Schizosaccharomyces pombe: one gene and its partners. The main gene of each other region encodes a partner of the protein of the gene in region 4 in a complex. Each region holds a gene or a part of one and is shown on either strand. Other genes may lie near its edges.

What was found.
Region 1: img1 (region 4) and mrpl31 share a complex: the UniProt entries of both Schizosaccharomyces pombe proteins name them as parts of the mitochondrial large ribosomal subunit.
Region 2: img1 (region 4) and rml2 share a complex: the UniProt entries of both Schizosaccharomyces pombe proteins name them as parts of the mitochondrial large ribosomal subunit.
Region 3: img1 (region 4) and mhr1 share a complex: the UniProt entries of both Schizosaccharomyces pombe proteins name them as parts of the mitochondrial large ribosomal subunit.

The regions. Positions count from the first base shown.
Region 1 is NC_003421.2:886,758-889,796, forward strand, and holds mrpl31 (mitochondrial 54S ribosomal protein mL60), read left to right. Parts: upstream 1-1,828; 5' UTR 1,829-2,100; coding exon 2,101-2,448; 3' UTR 2,449-2,538; downstream 2,539-3,039. Other genes in the region: oca8 (cytochrome b5), read right to left, coding at 649-798, 885-976, 1,483-1,630; ubiquitin hydrolase Ubp1, read right to left, coding at 2,680-3,039. UniProt on the Schizosaccharomyces pombe protein: Component of the mitochondrial ribosome (mitoribosome), a dedicated translation machinery responsible for the synthesis of mitochondrial genome-encoded proteins, including at least some of the essential transmembrane subunits of the mitochondrial respiratory chain.
Region 2 is NC_003421.2:694,355-698,101, reverse strand, and holds rml2 (mitochondrial 54S ribosomal protein uL2m), read right to left. Parts: upstream 2,191-3,747; 5' UTR 2,181-2,190; coding exon 2,019-2,180; exon of another isoform or gene 1,995-2,018; intron 1,946-1,994; coding exon 1,019-1,945; 3' UTR 620-1,018; downstream 1-619. Other genes in the region: RNA cap binding protein cbc3, read left to right, coding at 1-227, 350-497; transcription factor TFIIIC subunit Sfc4, read left to right, coding at 3,257-3,747. UniProt on the Schizosaccharomyces pombe protein: Component of the mitochondrial ribosome (mitoribosome), a dedicated translation machinery responsible for the synthesis of mitochondrial genome-encoded proteins, including at least some of the essential transmembrane subunits of the mitochondrial respiratory chain.
Region 3 is NC_003423.3:1,799,529-1,803,254, forward strand, and holds mhr1 (mitochondrial 54S ribosomal protein mL67 ), read right to left. Parts: upstream 1,763-3,726; 5' UTR 1,731-1,762; coding exon 1,203-1,730; 3' UTR 685-1,202; downstream 1-684. Other genes in the region: vacuolar membrane cation-chloride cotransporter Vhc1, read left to right, coding at 1-684; SPOM_SPBC18H10.18C (uncharacterized protein), read right to left, coding at 2,828-3,165, 3,211-3,601. UniProt on the Schizosaccharomyces pombe protein: Component of the mitochondrial ribosome (mitoribosome), a dedicated translation machinery responsible for the synthesis of mitochondrial genome-encoded proteins, including at least some of the essential transmembrane subunits of the mitochondrial respiratory chain.
Region 4 is NC_003424.3:1,639,975-1,643,526, reverse strand, and holds img1 (mitochondrial 54S ribosomal protein bL19m), read right to left. Parts: upstream 1,833-3,552; 5' UTR 1,773-1,832; coding exon 1,224-1,772; 3' UTR 595-1,223; downstream 1-594. Other genes in the region: anaphase-promoting complex ubiquitin -protein ligase E3 subunit Apc11, read right to left, coding at 1-17, 235-357, 401-419; erg8 (phosphomevalonate kinase), read left to right, coding at 2,642-2,649, 2,716-3,552. UniProt on the Schizosaccharomyces pombe protein: Component of the mitochondrial ribosome (mitoribosome), a dedicated translation machinery responsible for the synthesis of mitochondrial genome-encoded proteins, including at least some of the essential transmembrane subunits of the mitochondrial respiratory chain.

The DNA of each region.
Region 1 (3,039 bases), on a different chromosome or scaffold from region 4:
AAGGCGCGATGGTGGTTGTCTGCAGGTAGCGGTGGTTACAGGAACTGTGTATTAGCACCTAAATTAAAATAGTAGAAAAAAATTGTTGAGACGTAAAAAGTGTCGCAATTATCATGAATTTACATTTATATATAAAAAAAAAGACTTAATGAATAAATCCTCGATCGTTAAATAACGCCCGAACTTATTTACTCGATCACCGCTTAAAATTCTAGACAAGTTGGGCATAGGTCCATCGATAAAACAATAGAATAGAAGAAACTATAAAACTTTTTTTTATGAGAGAACAAACAACGAAAATACAAAAAATATAACACTAAGTATTATCAATTATACAGTTACGCAAAGCAAGCATAAGACCGTTGTGAATTAAATTTACGTCCAGACAAATCAAAGGTCTCTATTAATATTAATATGCCATTCACATTAAGAGCCAAACCAAAGCGTGTTAAAGGAATACATTGAATCCGTAAATATCCTAAGTACGAACAGGTAAAGAAAGCTAAAGTAGATATCTAACAACAACAAAAAACGAAACTTGCTAGCTCAAAATCACAAAACCATATTCAGCACATTTAAACGACCCAAAACGAAAGAAGGCCTTTAAATTTCTTTGAGCGCAAAAGTAAGACTGGGAATTTAAGCAGTCTATTTGAGGACATACTTGCGAAAAGCAAAGTAAGCAACAACCATCACAAGGACAAAGAGCCACATAGCAGGCTTAACTGGTTGAGAAGAATCATATCCACTTCCACCAGCGGCAGCACCAGTTGTGGGAAGCTGAGGGCCATCTTCAGTCTAAAATATGTTAGAGTGTCGAAGCAAATTTTTACAAAAATTTTAACGAGCCTATGGCGAACGAAGAGAAAAAATAAATGACATACTCTGAGCAAGTTTCCAATGTAAAATTTTTCGAGCAACTCCTGAGCATCCTCAGAGTGACCAACATCCTCGAAAGGACCGCTAGCATCACGACCTAAAACAAGTTAATAATCACAGAAACGAACAAAAAAAAGCCCCTAGCGATGGTAGAGAAAGGCAGAAACTTTGTATAGCCAATCCAAAAGCCGTATGTGAAGAATCGAAGCGATATCGTCAATCAATCTTTCCAAAATTATGTATTTCAGTGTATTCAGAGTACTGGAAATACAAAACATCGAGTAGAGAGCGATCAATCTTGGAACATATAGACTGTACTTAACAATTCACCTTCAATGACAATGTCGCATTAAACATCGTATTTATTCAGGATATCGCATCTATTTTTGTACGTTCCTACGGCAAAGATTCGTCCTGAATCTTTCAAATTAAAGAACATGTGTATATGCGACACCTAAACTCTCGTGAAATTCAAAGTTTTGTAACGCTAGTTGTCTGAAACTTCGATTTCTACGACTCCACACAATCGCGACCAATTTTTATGCATTACAACCAATCTTCCTCAAGACCTCCATTATCGCGTACCCCTAAAAATTTACTTACCGGCCAAATCAACAAGAACCTCTTCACCACCAGGGTGAGCGTCAAGGAACTTGGAAATATCATACACCTTGTCTTTTACAACAATGTACAAATCATCACGAGTGTTATGTTTTAACACTTCTTCAACAGTAATTGTCTTCTCTGCCATGATCAAGTTCTGCTTATTCTTCCTTAAAGGTGGTATTTAACGGTTATAACCCAGGAGCTAATTACTCTCGAGATGTTGGTTGCAAATGCCCTATCGCGATTTATCTAGCAGGTGGGAAGTAGAAATGAGCCGATTCTTACTGGCAGGTGGTCACGTGGATTCGAGTTGGAAGGTACACCCAAGGATATGAACTTACCCAAAACCTATATCATTCTTCAGTTAACCAACTCCACCATTTTGGAGGTGTAGTGTTTATATTTGAATGGCAATATAATATTTAAATCAATTTAGGACGCTAATCAAGTTAATTTTTGTTCACATCTTTGCTGTTTCGTTGGAGCCGTAAACTACTTTGTGACAAACCATCAACTACTCAGAATTTGTCTATCACCCAAAAACTTAACAAAAAATTTTTATTTGCTCTTTTTGATCCAACCTTCTTCCTCTCCTTTTGATTTTATACGAAAAATATGCTGGGTGCATTTAACTCGACTTTGGCTCGCTTTGGCGGTCTTGTTCATAAAGTACCTTGGAGATTATCCCAGCGAAGAAAATATCGTCACCGTCAACGACTTCGTGCCGTCGATGAGGTGGTAGATGTTTTGCGCACGGCGTTGCAAGAGAAAAATCAATCGTGCAAACGAATTGAAAGTTTCGTTGCTAACCATCAGCCTGAATCCCAAATGTCACCAAAGGATAAATACACTATGTTTACCAGGAAGACTCAAGGTGCCGGTCTCCAAGGCTTCCGCAAGGGTGTCCATAAATCACCAAAATGGACCCGTAGTACTAATCGTGTTAATCCCACTGGCTTTTAAAAACGTCTGGTTGCAAAAGTTTACTACTTTTTTTTTCATAATTTTAATGCTCTATGAATAATAAATGTAATGGATTATTTTAATAGCTTATTTTATTACTTTTTTATTGCAAAAACTCCCACCTCTTCCTCGTCTTCGTTCATATTCAATTTCCAGTTTCATACATATTCAAACAAACGACATTAGCCTTTAGTTAGAGTAAAGTTCATATCACCTCTATTATACGTCTCTTTAATTCTTTGCTCTGTAAAACAATACATAAGCAGACGATGTGACAATATCCTCCGGATCTATTTCACAAATAGCTGTATCATCAAACTTAAAGAATGTTTGGCTCGATGCATCTCTTGCATAGGCAGTATAATGACCATTACTCATAAACCCGTGATGATTGTCCACTGCATACAAATCGTAAAGCATCGATTTCTGTGACGATAGCCACTCATGATCTTTTATAAATGGACTCAAAAATTGCTTCAAATTGAGATCAAATACTGGATAAACTACTAAATCCCTTCGTTTACGTCTTCTCCGCAAATCTCCACCGTGGCCGCTGAATCGATTTAAATGAATGACTAGTATTTTTGGCAA
Region 2 (3,747 bases), on a different chromosome or scaffold from region 4:
GTTTCACGAAATGCTTTATTTCATTTAATTATGGAGTCTCCGACAGAATTTTCAGAGGAATTGGAATATCAAACGAAACCACACCCAACTGTACCGACGTGTCAATTCAAAATACGTTACGCCCGCTACGGAGACAAGAAGGTTAAAAGCGCACATCTTTACTCGAGATATTATCTGTTTCACGGTGATCCTCGAGAAGAAAAGGCTCAGAAGAGCAAATCTAAAAGGTATAACTTGTGAAAACCAAATTAGTCCGGGTGCACTCATACTTTTCAAAAATCATTTCCTCTACTTTTGAGAATCTCCTTTTACTCAATTTTATATTCAAATTACTAACACTTTCGCACAGTAGAAATCAAGATGAAAGGGGTTCGCCATTAGATGAACGACTAGGTCCTAAAGTGTCTGACCTTACACTGATGGAAAGAATATTCCAAGTTCGACGCAAGCCACGCAAATCAAGGAGAGACCGTCGTTCCAGGGTTTCCAAGCGTTAATTGTGTTGTAGAGAAATATTAAATACCCAGTTTATCCGCTTTTAAGTCGCTTTTCGCTGGACGAAGGCAAGAAAAAATTAATATGCTAAATTAGCTACAATTTTATAAATAAAATTTTTTTATTTAGTTGGCCATATTAAAATAAAACCGTTCTTTTCTGCGTTTAATAGAATACTCTTTTGGTACCTGAATGATATCGATAACCCTTTTAAGGTAGATGTAAGCAAACGACAATTTTGAATGGGATAGTCCTTAGCTTTAAGCAACGTTGTGATGAACAAAAATTACCAATACAGATTTAAATTGTAAGAGCTAAACTCTTAAAAAATGCTTAAAATTTTTCGTCGATAAATGACGGTCGACACAAAATAACTATACATAAATGCATCTGGTCCACAAATGGATAGGTAATAGCATCGACTATTAAAATGGAGAAGGGATCATGAAAATTGAAATGCATTACGGTAATGTAAAACATAGAAATGTAAAAGTCATGAAGACAGAGATCATTAATAAAATGATTACCGCTTTTCCTTTCCACGAGGACGATCGCGGACGAGTAATTTATTAACATTTTTACCTCTTCTTGTTTTGTATCCACCTTTAGCCAAAACACCCCAAGGAGATTGAGAAGGTTTATTACCAATGCTTTTACCACCACCACCACCATGTGGATGGTCACATGGATTCATAGCTGTACCTCGAACCGTAGGACGAATGCCAAGCCAACGTGAACGACCGGCTTTACCAAGCTGGCGATGTTGCCAATAAATATTGCTTACAACACCAATGGTAGCAAATGATGTATCCAAAATCTTTCTCTCTTCACCACTTTGTAGACGAACGATAGCATATTTACCATCAAAAGCTATGATACGAGCGCTACTGCCAGCAGAACGACATAGCTTTGCCTTTTGATTTGGATTTACACCAATGGCATGAATGACAGTTCCTATAGGAATTAATCTGAGAGGAAAACAATTTCCTGGCTTCAAATTTTTTGCTGCAAAAGTTCCATCTTCAATTTCAGCAGCTAGGACGGGGTCCATTTCTACTGGCTCGCCATTAGAACCAGTCTTCAAAAGCGATCGAAAGCTCTCAACTGTATCGCCTTCGCGAAGCCCGTCACAAGCCAAAATATAACTTTTGTTGGCTGTTTCGGAATTCAATTTTTCAACAAGGGCAATGTGACCACTTCTACCAGGGTCATACTCAATTCTAATCACTCGATGAACACCCGGTACTTTTCTTTCAAAGTCAACAAGACGAATACGTTGTTTGTGTCCACCACCCTGATGCCTTACAGTAATTCTTCCTGTTTCATTTCTTCCACCTTTTTTTCTTTTTGCAACGGTCAAAGGTCGAAAAGGTTTCCCTTTCCAAAGGTAATCACTAACTGGTCTTTTTAAATGACGAAGACCAGGAGATATAGGTTTGTAAGTTTTAATCTTGATAAGAATTAGTAAAAAATGAATTAAGGCTTGATAAATAAAAAGTAACCCTCGTGTTAATATTACATACCTCGAACTTCGTTTTTGGTCGTAGAAGCATCCCTACATCGTAGGGTCTCTCGGAAGATTCAATTTTTTCACCGCTTGTAGATGCGGTAGAGGCATATCTGAACAGCTTTAACGCATGAATTTGAGGAATCAAATACCCCCGAAATCGATTATAACTCAACATGGGGATTTCCAACTAAACCTATGGTAAGAACTCACAATATGATGGACTGCGAATTAACGAGTTCAATCATAATTTGCGACGCTCAGTGCTAAAATCTTTACACAATCCAAGGTGTCGTTAACTGTGTAAATAAATGAACATTGATCTAGGGAATACAACATAGAGGAAATTGAACACATTAGCTATAATAATGAAGAACTTTGTTTTATTGTTTGATCATCTGTGTAGTAAATATTTTATACATTGTAAACCCGATTCTATACGTTTGAAAGTAATGGCAGGTCAACTGAGAATTTCAACCACGTTATAATATATTGGAAATTTTGATAAATTGAATTTGCTTTTCCTTCGAGTTGAGCAAAGTTAAACTAGAATTTACGACACCTGTAATAAGCCTGCTGAGCATGAAGAGTTTAAGGGATTCAAGGTATCAGGAAAACATTGCTTTCTCACAAAACTCTTCTCACATTCCTTTTTGGATGTGTGCTTAATTAATTACTAAATAAGTTCACATACCAAAAAAATCTTATTTAATATACAGTTTCAACGAAAAGTTTCAACTATGGAAATTTGTTTTGTTAACTCGTTCATTTTCGTTTCAAAACAATTCGAAGATGGGGTTGATCTGCGTTTGTTTAATATAGCTTATTAGTTTGCTTATGAAAGGTTTCGATACTATACTCTGTGTACACTGACAAAGGTCAATCAACATGAAAAGCCTTGAGATGCCATTTTCCAAAAAAAAAAGTGAAAAACACTATTTGATTGACTAGGATCTTCCAAATTCTTACAGATATTAGGTATTTTGACAACATCAAAATTGTCAAGTTTGCAATTCAAAAATGTTGCAAGTAAAATAACTGGTGTCAGGAAAAAAGGACTAATATTTATTGACTTCATATTAATTAGTCAATTGTAGAACAAGATATGTGGTACCCATGACCTCTTTGTTTATTGAGTACTTCTATAATGACTTACTTCAACTTTGCCTTCACCAACGCCAACGCGAAAACAGCCAACTTCAAGTAGGCAAAAGGAACAGACCGATTTGAAAGCATGATTGAGCATCTTAAAGGATGATTCAAAATGGTGGAAATAGCTATGTGGATTCCAATATGAATGAAACGCAAAATGATACAACTGACAACTTTGATGCTGAAATGCAAGATCTAAACGGGTATATAAGCGAAATTGTCGATGAGGCTAGGAATGTATCTGAAGTTGATGCAAAATTTTTGGGAGATACCTCTGCCCTTCAAGCTGAGGGCCTTTGGTCAGACGAAGAGTCAGATTATGAAGGCAGTGACGATGAATCAAACTTTAGTAAAACAGCCTCAAGAACCGAGGACGACATTGCGAACGAGGAATGGGAAGAAAATTTAAAGGCAGTTGCTGGATTTAGAAAAGTCCGTAAAGGTCATAAAGGTCGAGGACGTGTTAGTCGAGCTGATATGCTTCCCTCGGTGGAAGTGCAACAAATGTTGAGTTTAGCGAATCATTTGTTTGCGCAAGAAGGAAACTTCGACGAAGCCCAAAAATTAGCTGAAGAGATTGTTCGTATTGATAA
Region 3 (3,726 bases), on a different chromosome or scaffold from region 4:
ATGAATTTGGATGCATATAGGTACATTGTCAAAAATGAGCATGTGAGACCTAGCAAGTCTTCCGAGCTTGAAAACTTACTGAAAGATGACTCGTGGTGGCAGGAAGAAAAGAAAAGAAGAGGAAATACTGTAGATTCCTTAGGACCTATTCGTTTTCCACGTCGTATGTCTGGTTATAACTTTAGATCTGCCAGCTTTGATAAGAGTGCTCCACCTTTAAGTGTGCCATTGAGTTTCCGCCTTGGGCCACATATGCATTCAGTAAAGTCGTTTGAGACTGAATCTTCTTTCGGAAACCGTTCTTTATCACCAAAACAAGAAAATAGAAGAACTTATTCTGACAGTACTATTGAGTCATCTCTGATGCCCAACGTGGTCCGAGAAGATAGTTCATCTGATAGACTAGCACCAAAGAAAAAAATAGGAAGGGACTATTCTAAAGAGAAGTTGACGTTTAACGATTTATCCTCGAGATCTCAATACATAATTATGAATGAAATCGTGCTGAAACATACTAAAAATACTTCTGTATTGTTTACTGTTTTACCAGCACCTTTGGCCGACACTCATAAGAGCTTTCGAAAAAGCGAGGAATATGTTGATGACTTATTAATATTTATGGAAGGATTACCTCCTTGTGCATTAATCCACTCTAAGAGTTTAACTATAACTACCGCTCTTTAACGATTTATGGTATTTATGTCTTTGGTTTATAAAGTCTTTTCTTTTGGCATTGTTATAACTATTTAAATATTTGGTCCATGATTTCTATTTTAGATGCTAATATTTTTTTTTTATTCTGGACCAAACTTTAAACAAAAAAAAAACGAGGCAATAAAGTGATGAGTTAATCTTGCATATATTTCATAGGAGCTCGAAAACTTCAAAATGGTAAAATAATAAAGATACGAGTATTTGGTGTCGATTTGTATTAAATTTATCTTGTCTTGAGTATCTAGCCAATACTCTCGCATTGAAGTACAATGATAAGCTAAGGAAGCTGTCCAGTGCAATACACTGGATACACTGGGAAGAATTCGTAACCGTCTTTAGTAAAAAGGACTTTATCATTAAGTAAAAAAGATTGAGCTAATATGAATATGTGTTAGCTTATACTTCATATAATGCCCTTTAAGAAAGCCTAAAAATGGATGAGGGGTGTTTTTGAAGGAAGAAAGTGAGAGAAGTAATGATATTATGCTTCATCTAGCTTCGTCTACGGTTGTTTTTTCACGGAAACCTCGCGAGAGTTTAATTTCCTCTGAATCAATCTGCACACTAGGGGGCCAATCTGCATATTCACTATCGGATTTATCACTCAGTTGCAAACGAACGGAATTTTCGGGAAATTTTTCTTTATTTAAAATATCTGCCAAGTCCGCAATCGTGTTAGGAACCTCTTGTCGCATTATTTTTCTTCTACGAACGGGTATAGGCAATTTCAAAAGGTCACTAGTCAGTGGTTGAACAGAACGATATTTTCGATAGTTTAACAGTTGCATAAAAACAGATTGAAACATTGATTCATTAGGAAATTCGACTTTTAGTAAAGGAACCCAATGGTCTTTACGGAGCTTAGCGGGTCGCATACCATTTGGAGCGACTGGCTTTTGAAGTGGGTAGGGAAGTTGAAACAACGCAGTCTTTTTTAAAACATTTCCTTGAGATAAAAGTACCTGATTCGTTTGAATATGCCTAAATATATAGAGATACTTGTTCTTTTCAAGCATTCTTTCCTTTTACGAGTACAGATTGGCTGTTTACATATATGCTTGTAAGAGATGCGAAGTTTGTTAATAGCGCGTCCGCGTATAAACGTTGTGCCCAATAAACACATATCGTTTGCTAGCACAGATGTTAGGCAGCATTGCGCGTTGAGCAGCCAAAAACAGTAAATGTTTTAATGATACGGTGAGTGACGGAAAATTTGAATACTGGTCAGCTACGCAGTTTAATATCTATTTAAAGTGTCGCTCACGTATTTCGGTATCTGCTTAACGATACTTAAAGTGCAATGAATCTCTCTGTGACCTAATATATTATGTTACACAGTTAATATAAGCAGCAATTTCAATGGGTGTTCTCTGAAATAAATTATATTGTTACCTATGGACATAGCAAAAAATATTACTTTTCGCTTGGGCTGAATGTTGGTAGATTTTGAATACGAAAGATTTCATATAATACAAATTGAATAATTTTTTAATTCTTTTTGTAAAGAAATTGCTACTGACCAGGAATTGGGAAATCGCATTATTTAAAATAGGTTTTCGCTCTACACCAAATTGATTTTTCATTTTTATTTGTTTTAGAAACAAGTTTGAACTTATATTTCCTGTATATACTGTATTTTAAAGCTCCGAACACTTGAAAATGATATATGGAATCCTCATTTTATGCATTAAACAGAAACTAAGGTTAAATCACTACTTTGCGTCTTTTGAGTAATGCCTTACTTGTTCAATTTTTTAATTCGCAAATCTTACAAAGTCATAATTAAGGATTGTATATCAATTTGGTAAAACAATAAAGAGGATGATTAATTTATAATTGACAACCAGATTCATTAGTTAAATGACTTTTCCTAGCACCACAGAAACACATCGTGTTTACTCTATAACAGAGACAAAAATGTATGTATGGAAAAAGAGTGATGACTGTCATCGGAAATGATTAAGTGACAATGCGTATAAGGTAATAATACAAGAAATAGAAATAAAGGGGAAAAAAGGAGCTTCTGCAGGAAAGTAAGAAAATTAGTAATGAAATAAAAAAGACACTCGCAGCTGGTTGGCAGCCCCTTGATTTTTTTTTCTAGCCATGACTTTTAGCTGCTGCCCGATTCTACATCTTTAGAAGTGTTGCAATCGGTTCCCTCAGCCATTGTGTTGTCACTTGCTGGCTCTGTGGTAATTGCTTGGCCTCGCATAGACGACATTTCAACGTCGCCAGTCTCTTCATCTTGTTCTATTACTTCGAGCCCGAGAATAAACAACAGTAAGGATAAAATAATATGAGCCAAACCTTGAATTGCTTTAGCTACATATTTAACTAGGCCTGCAATCGTTTTAGCTACATGTTTAGCTAGACCTTCATTCGCTTTAGCTACAGATGGTGCATAAACATAAGCTTCTTCAAACGCTAATTTAATTAACGAAAATGAAACTAGAAAATCGTTAGCCATGAATTCAAATCATCTCAAAAACTTACAATAAACAATAATCACTGTCATCACGTATGTAAATATTAACACTATAGTTTCAATAACATATTTAACCACAGAATTAAGATCCGCCAATGCCTGATCGAAATAATTATAAAAATTATGATAAAGCAATAAAGTAAGAATGAAAGGAAGGAAGATATGAAATATCGCATATCTAGCTTGTGTAAGTCGCACATTTTCCGAACGCTTTCTTAATCTAGCAGGTGCAGCCATTGTATTTTTTTTTCGTAACGATGGTTGTGTTAATGTTGAGTTTTGTTTGACAATTGGATTGTTTACATGATTATTGACTGAATATGAAGGACAAGAATGTAAACAACCCTTCTCCAAATCATTCCAAACTTCATTGTATTGAGGTAACTTTTCGTCTGGCATTTTGAAGAGCCTTTTACCAATAGTGATTATATACGTTTGAGTTCCAACTTGAACATTGCAAAATAAAATGCGAAATTAAAATATAAAATAGATAAATAGATCAAAACCAAACACTTGAATAGCCT
Region 4 (3,552 bases):
CTTGCATTTCCCCCAAACTAGCGTAGTTAGCCTTTAATTAATTCTGTGAAAGCTGATGCCCATGATAAACTCTTTTTAACAAAAACAAAGTATGAATATTAGATTAAAGATTATTTGAACACAACCAACCCAATTGCGCAACAAATTTTCATGCTGATACCCCCTTAGGATGCAAAGTATACAAGTAAGCCTCCGCAGAGCATATTCAGGAAATAAATACAAACATATTCTTACCTATGGGGCAATTGTCTCCAGGACTTGTGCATTGAGGGCAGCATCCATCGAATGGAACACGACATATACCACAAACGTCGTCTTTTGGGGTATCCCACGTCCAGTTAGCAATTGCATGGTATCCTAGTGGTTAGAAAACAATTTTATTTCCAAAATATTCGCTTACTCAGTATTTTCACCTTCATAGTCTTTGTATATTGTATTTGAGATCTAATTAAATAAACATTAGTGTTTTTTGCTAGCTAATGTTTTACGTTCTACCACGGTATTAAGAAAACAATTCAGGCGAAAAACAAAATGTCGTAAGAAGAGAAGAGTTAGTAGATTTACAGTTGATATTTGGCTTTAGCTATACATCTTTTCGTTTTCTGAAAGTTTAAAATTTCTAACTAAAACTAATTTTCATTGGACTGTAACAAGCCGGCTACATTCGACATGCTAACAAAATTTTTATATTTATGATACTTTGCTTCTTTAGCTTATAACATATTGTTGAGCTCAAGTTTTATACTTTTTTACATGAATAATTTCAAATATTATTCAAAATAATCAAAGCGCAGAATTATGAAGAGGCAAGCCTACATACAGCTCAAATTTATAAGAAAAAAGTAGAGGTTTTGATTCATAGTGCCTCACAAATTCATCTGGGAAAATTAATGGCAATGACATGTGACTTGTCGATTCAAAGAATGAGAAGGGGGTAAAAGGCTCAAAGGAGGTGATTCATTGCCGTTTCATGGAATCGATAATACGTGTTTTGACAAACAGGCTAAAGCCGAAATATACATCCAAATCTCTAAATCTGTTCCAGAAAACCAACCAACGCCTCTTATAATGCAGTTCTAAATGCAATAGCCTGTAGAAAAAGACAAGTAGATAGGGAAACATAGAGTGTAAACGAACTATAAATCATACAGCGCTTCTTGAATAAAATCATGAAAGATTCGCAAAAAAAAAGAAATTTACTTGCAGAAGTTGCAATGATTGTGTCAAGGTTTATGTTGATTTTGTTCAATGTATTTTCGCACCAGTGATTCAACAGGTGGAAGACGAAAGCGAGGTTGACGCAAGTAACTTAAGTATGCTCTTCTAGGTCTTTTAGATAGACCATTTTCTTTGAGGACAACAATACGTTTAATTTGTGGAGAGTAAATTGGTAACAAATATTCGACTCCAACACCCATTACCACGTTTCGTAACAGGATTGAACTTTTTGGTCCACGATGCCGAATTCGCAGTAGATAACCAGCAAATCTGTTGACTGAATCTTTTGATGGGTATTTTGAGTAGCTTTCAACCAGTAAAACCGCGCCTGGTCTTACTCGATTTGGCTGCGAGCGATGAAACATTTTGAATCGCTCAGATTGCTCATCCAATACTGAACGGCACTTTTTTTCGAATAATGATAACACATCTTTGTGCTTTGGACCTGGTACTGGCTTTGGAAAGTTATAAGGCCGTTTTAACGATCCAATACCTCTCTTTTGTAGCCATTGAAAGCCCAATCCTAAATTGAAAAAGTGTTTGGCATTAAACATGTCTTCCAAAAGTCATTAAATACCGTTCGTTAGTAAGAATGACAAAACACTATATTCTACAGAGTATCTTTTTAAGTAAGTACGATGGTATTCAAAATGAATTAGCAAATTCTGCACAACGTATTTCGTTATATGTTATTTATTGTCAACCTTCCATTACGCTATATTAGACTATGTAAGTTAATACAGTTGATTATATATTTTTATATGATTTATCCATCAAGGATTGTGTTTCTGACCTTGAATGTTCAAGGCAATAGAAAGATTCCTGTTGAACCCGAATGAATATACGTGTTCCAATTCAGTTACATGGCTTCTCATTGTAGTTATAATACTATCAATAACTCGCTGGTATTCAGAAAACTTCAATAGCAAGATTTGCTTTTTTCTTTCCACCTTAATGTTCCATTTTCGTAAAAGATATTATTTTATATGCAATCAATTATATACTCTAATATGAATATGCGTTAATGTAATCTCTGTATTCCTGATTTCGAACTCTCCTTAATTAACGTTAATTTTCTATACTATTTTCTCCACAAGCAAATCTTGCGAAACGAACGATACGATAATGATTTAGAAAGTTGATTTACTCAAAGCAACTTTAGTTTCTGTATAACATTTGATACTCTTTGATCAGTTCTTTTTTTATTTTTTTTGATTTTTAGAATAACACTTTTCAGGAGCTACTGTTCGAAGATAATCCTCTCTTTTACTTTGACTGATATATCATTTCTCTAAATTCAACAGATTATCACGTAAGATAGAAGTCATACATTCCTTTCTATTTCCTTCTCAGGTCCTATAAAAAAGTTACGACACACAAAACATTATAGAGATATCCATATTCAAGACAAAAATATATCAACATGAAAGTGTAAGTTGAAACCAGTCTTTTTTCTTTTTTTCTGTTTTGTCCATCTCTAACTAGCGTCTTTGGCAGGACCTGCTCTGCTCCTGGTAAAGTACTTATAGCTGGTGGATACATTGTTTTAGATCCTCAATACAGCGGGCTTGTTATTGGTTTAACTGCCAAAGGGTACGCTTCCACAACGACTTTGGACGATAAATGTGGAACGGTTCGTGTGAAAAGCCCTCAATTCATTAACGCTGAATGGCTTTATAATATTGATTGGACTGTATCTCCTATTCGAGTTCATCAGATATATGAAAACTGTGAATTGGAAAAAAATCCAAACCCCTTCGTTCAACTGGCACTTTTTTATGTAATTAACTACTTTTTTTCCACGGGGCGACAACCTTTATGCTGGCAAGATCTTCAAGTTACATTGCAGGTAGATAATGCCTATTATCACCAACCACAGTTAAAGCCTGATCAAACAAGCTATCCAAAATTCAATTTCTTAAACTGTACTTTAGGTCAAGTACATAAGACTGGTTTAGGAAGCTCGGCAGCTATGATTACAAGTCTTATAGGTTCATTATTTTTAAGTCTTAGACGACTAACAGATGACACTGGTGACAAATCTCTCAAAATTGATGATTCAACCAAAGTCATAGTTCACAATCTGGCACAAATTGCCCACTGTTCTGCACAAGGAAAAGTAGGAAGTGGGTTTGATGTTGGCGCTGCCACTTGGGGAAGTTGTATTTATAGAAGGTTTGATCCTAAATTAATTGAACAACTGCTGGTCCCATACGACGAACAAATAAAGAACATAAATTTTTCCACCGAACTGAGAAAAATAGTTTCTAAAAAATGGTCAGATGTTGTTCCATTTCAATTGCCTGCTACTTATTGTTTGCTAATGGGGGACGT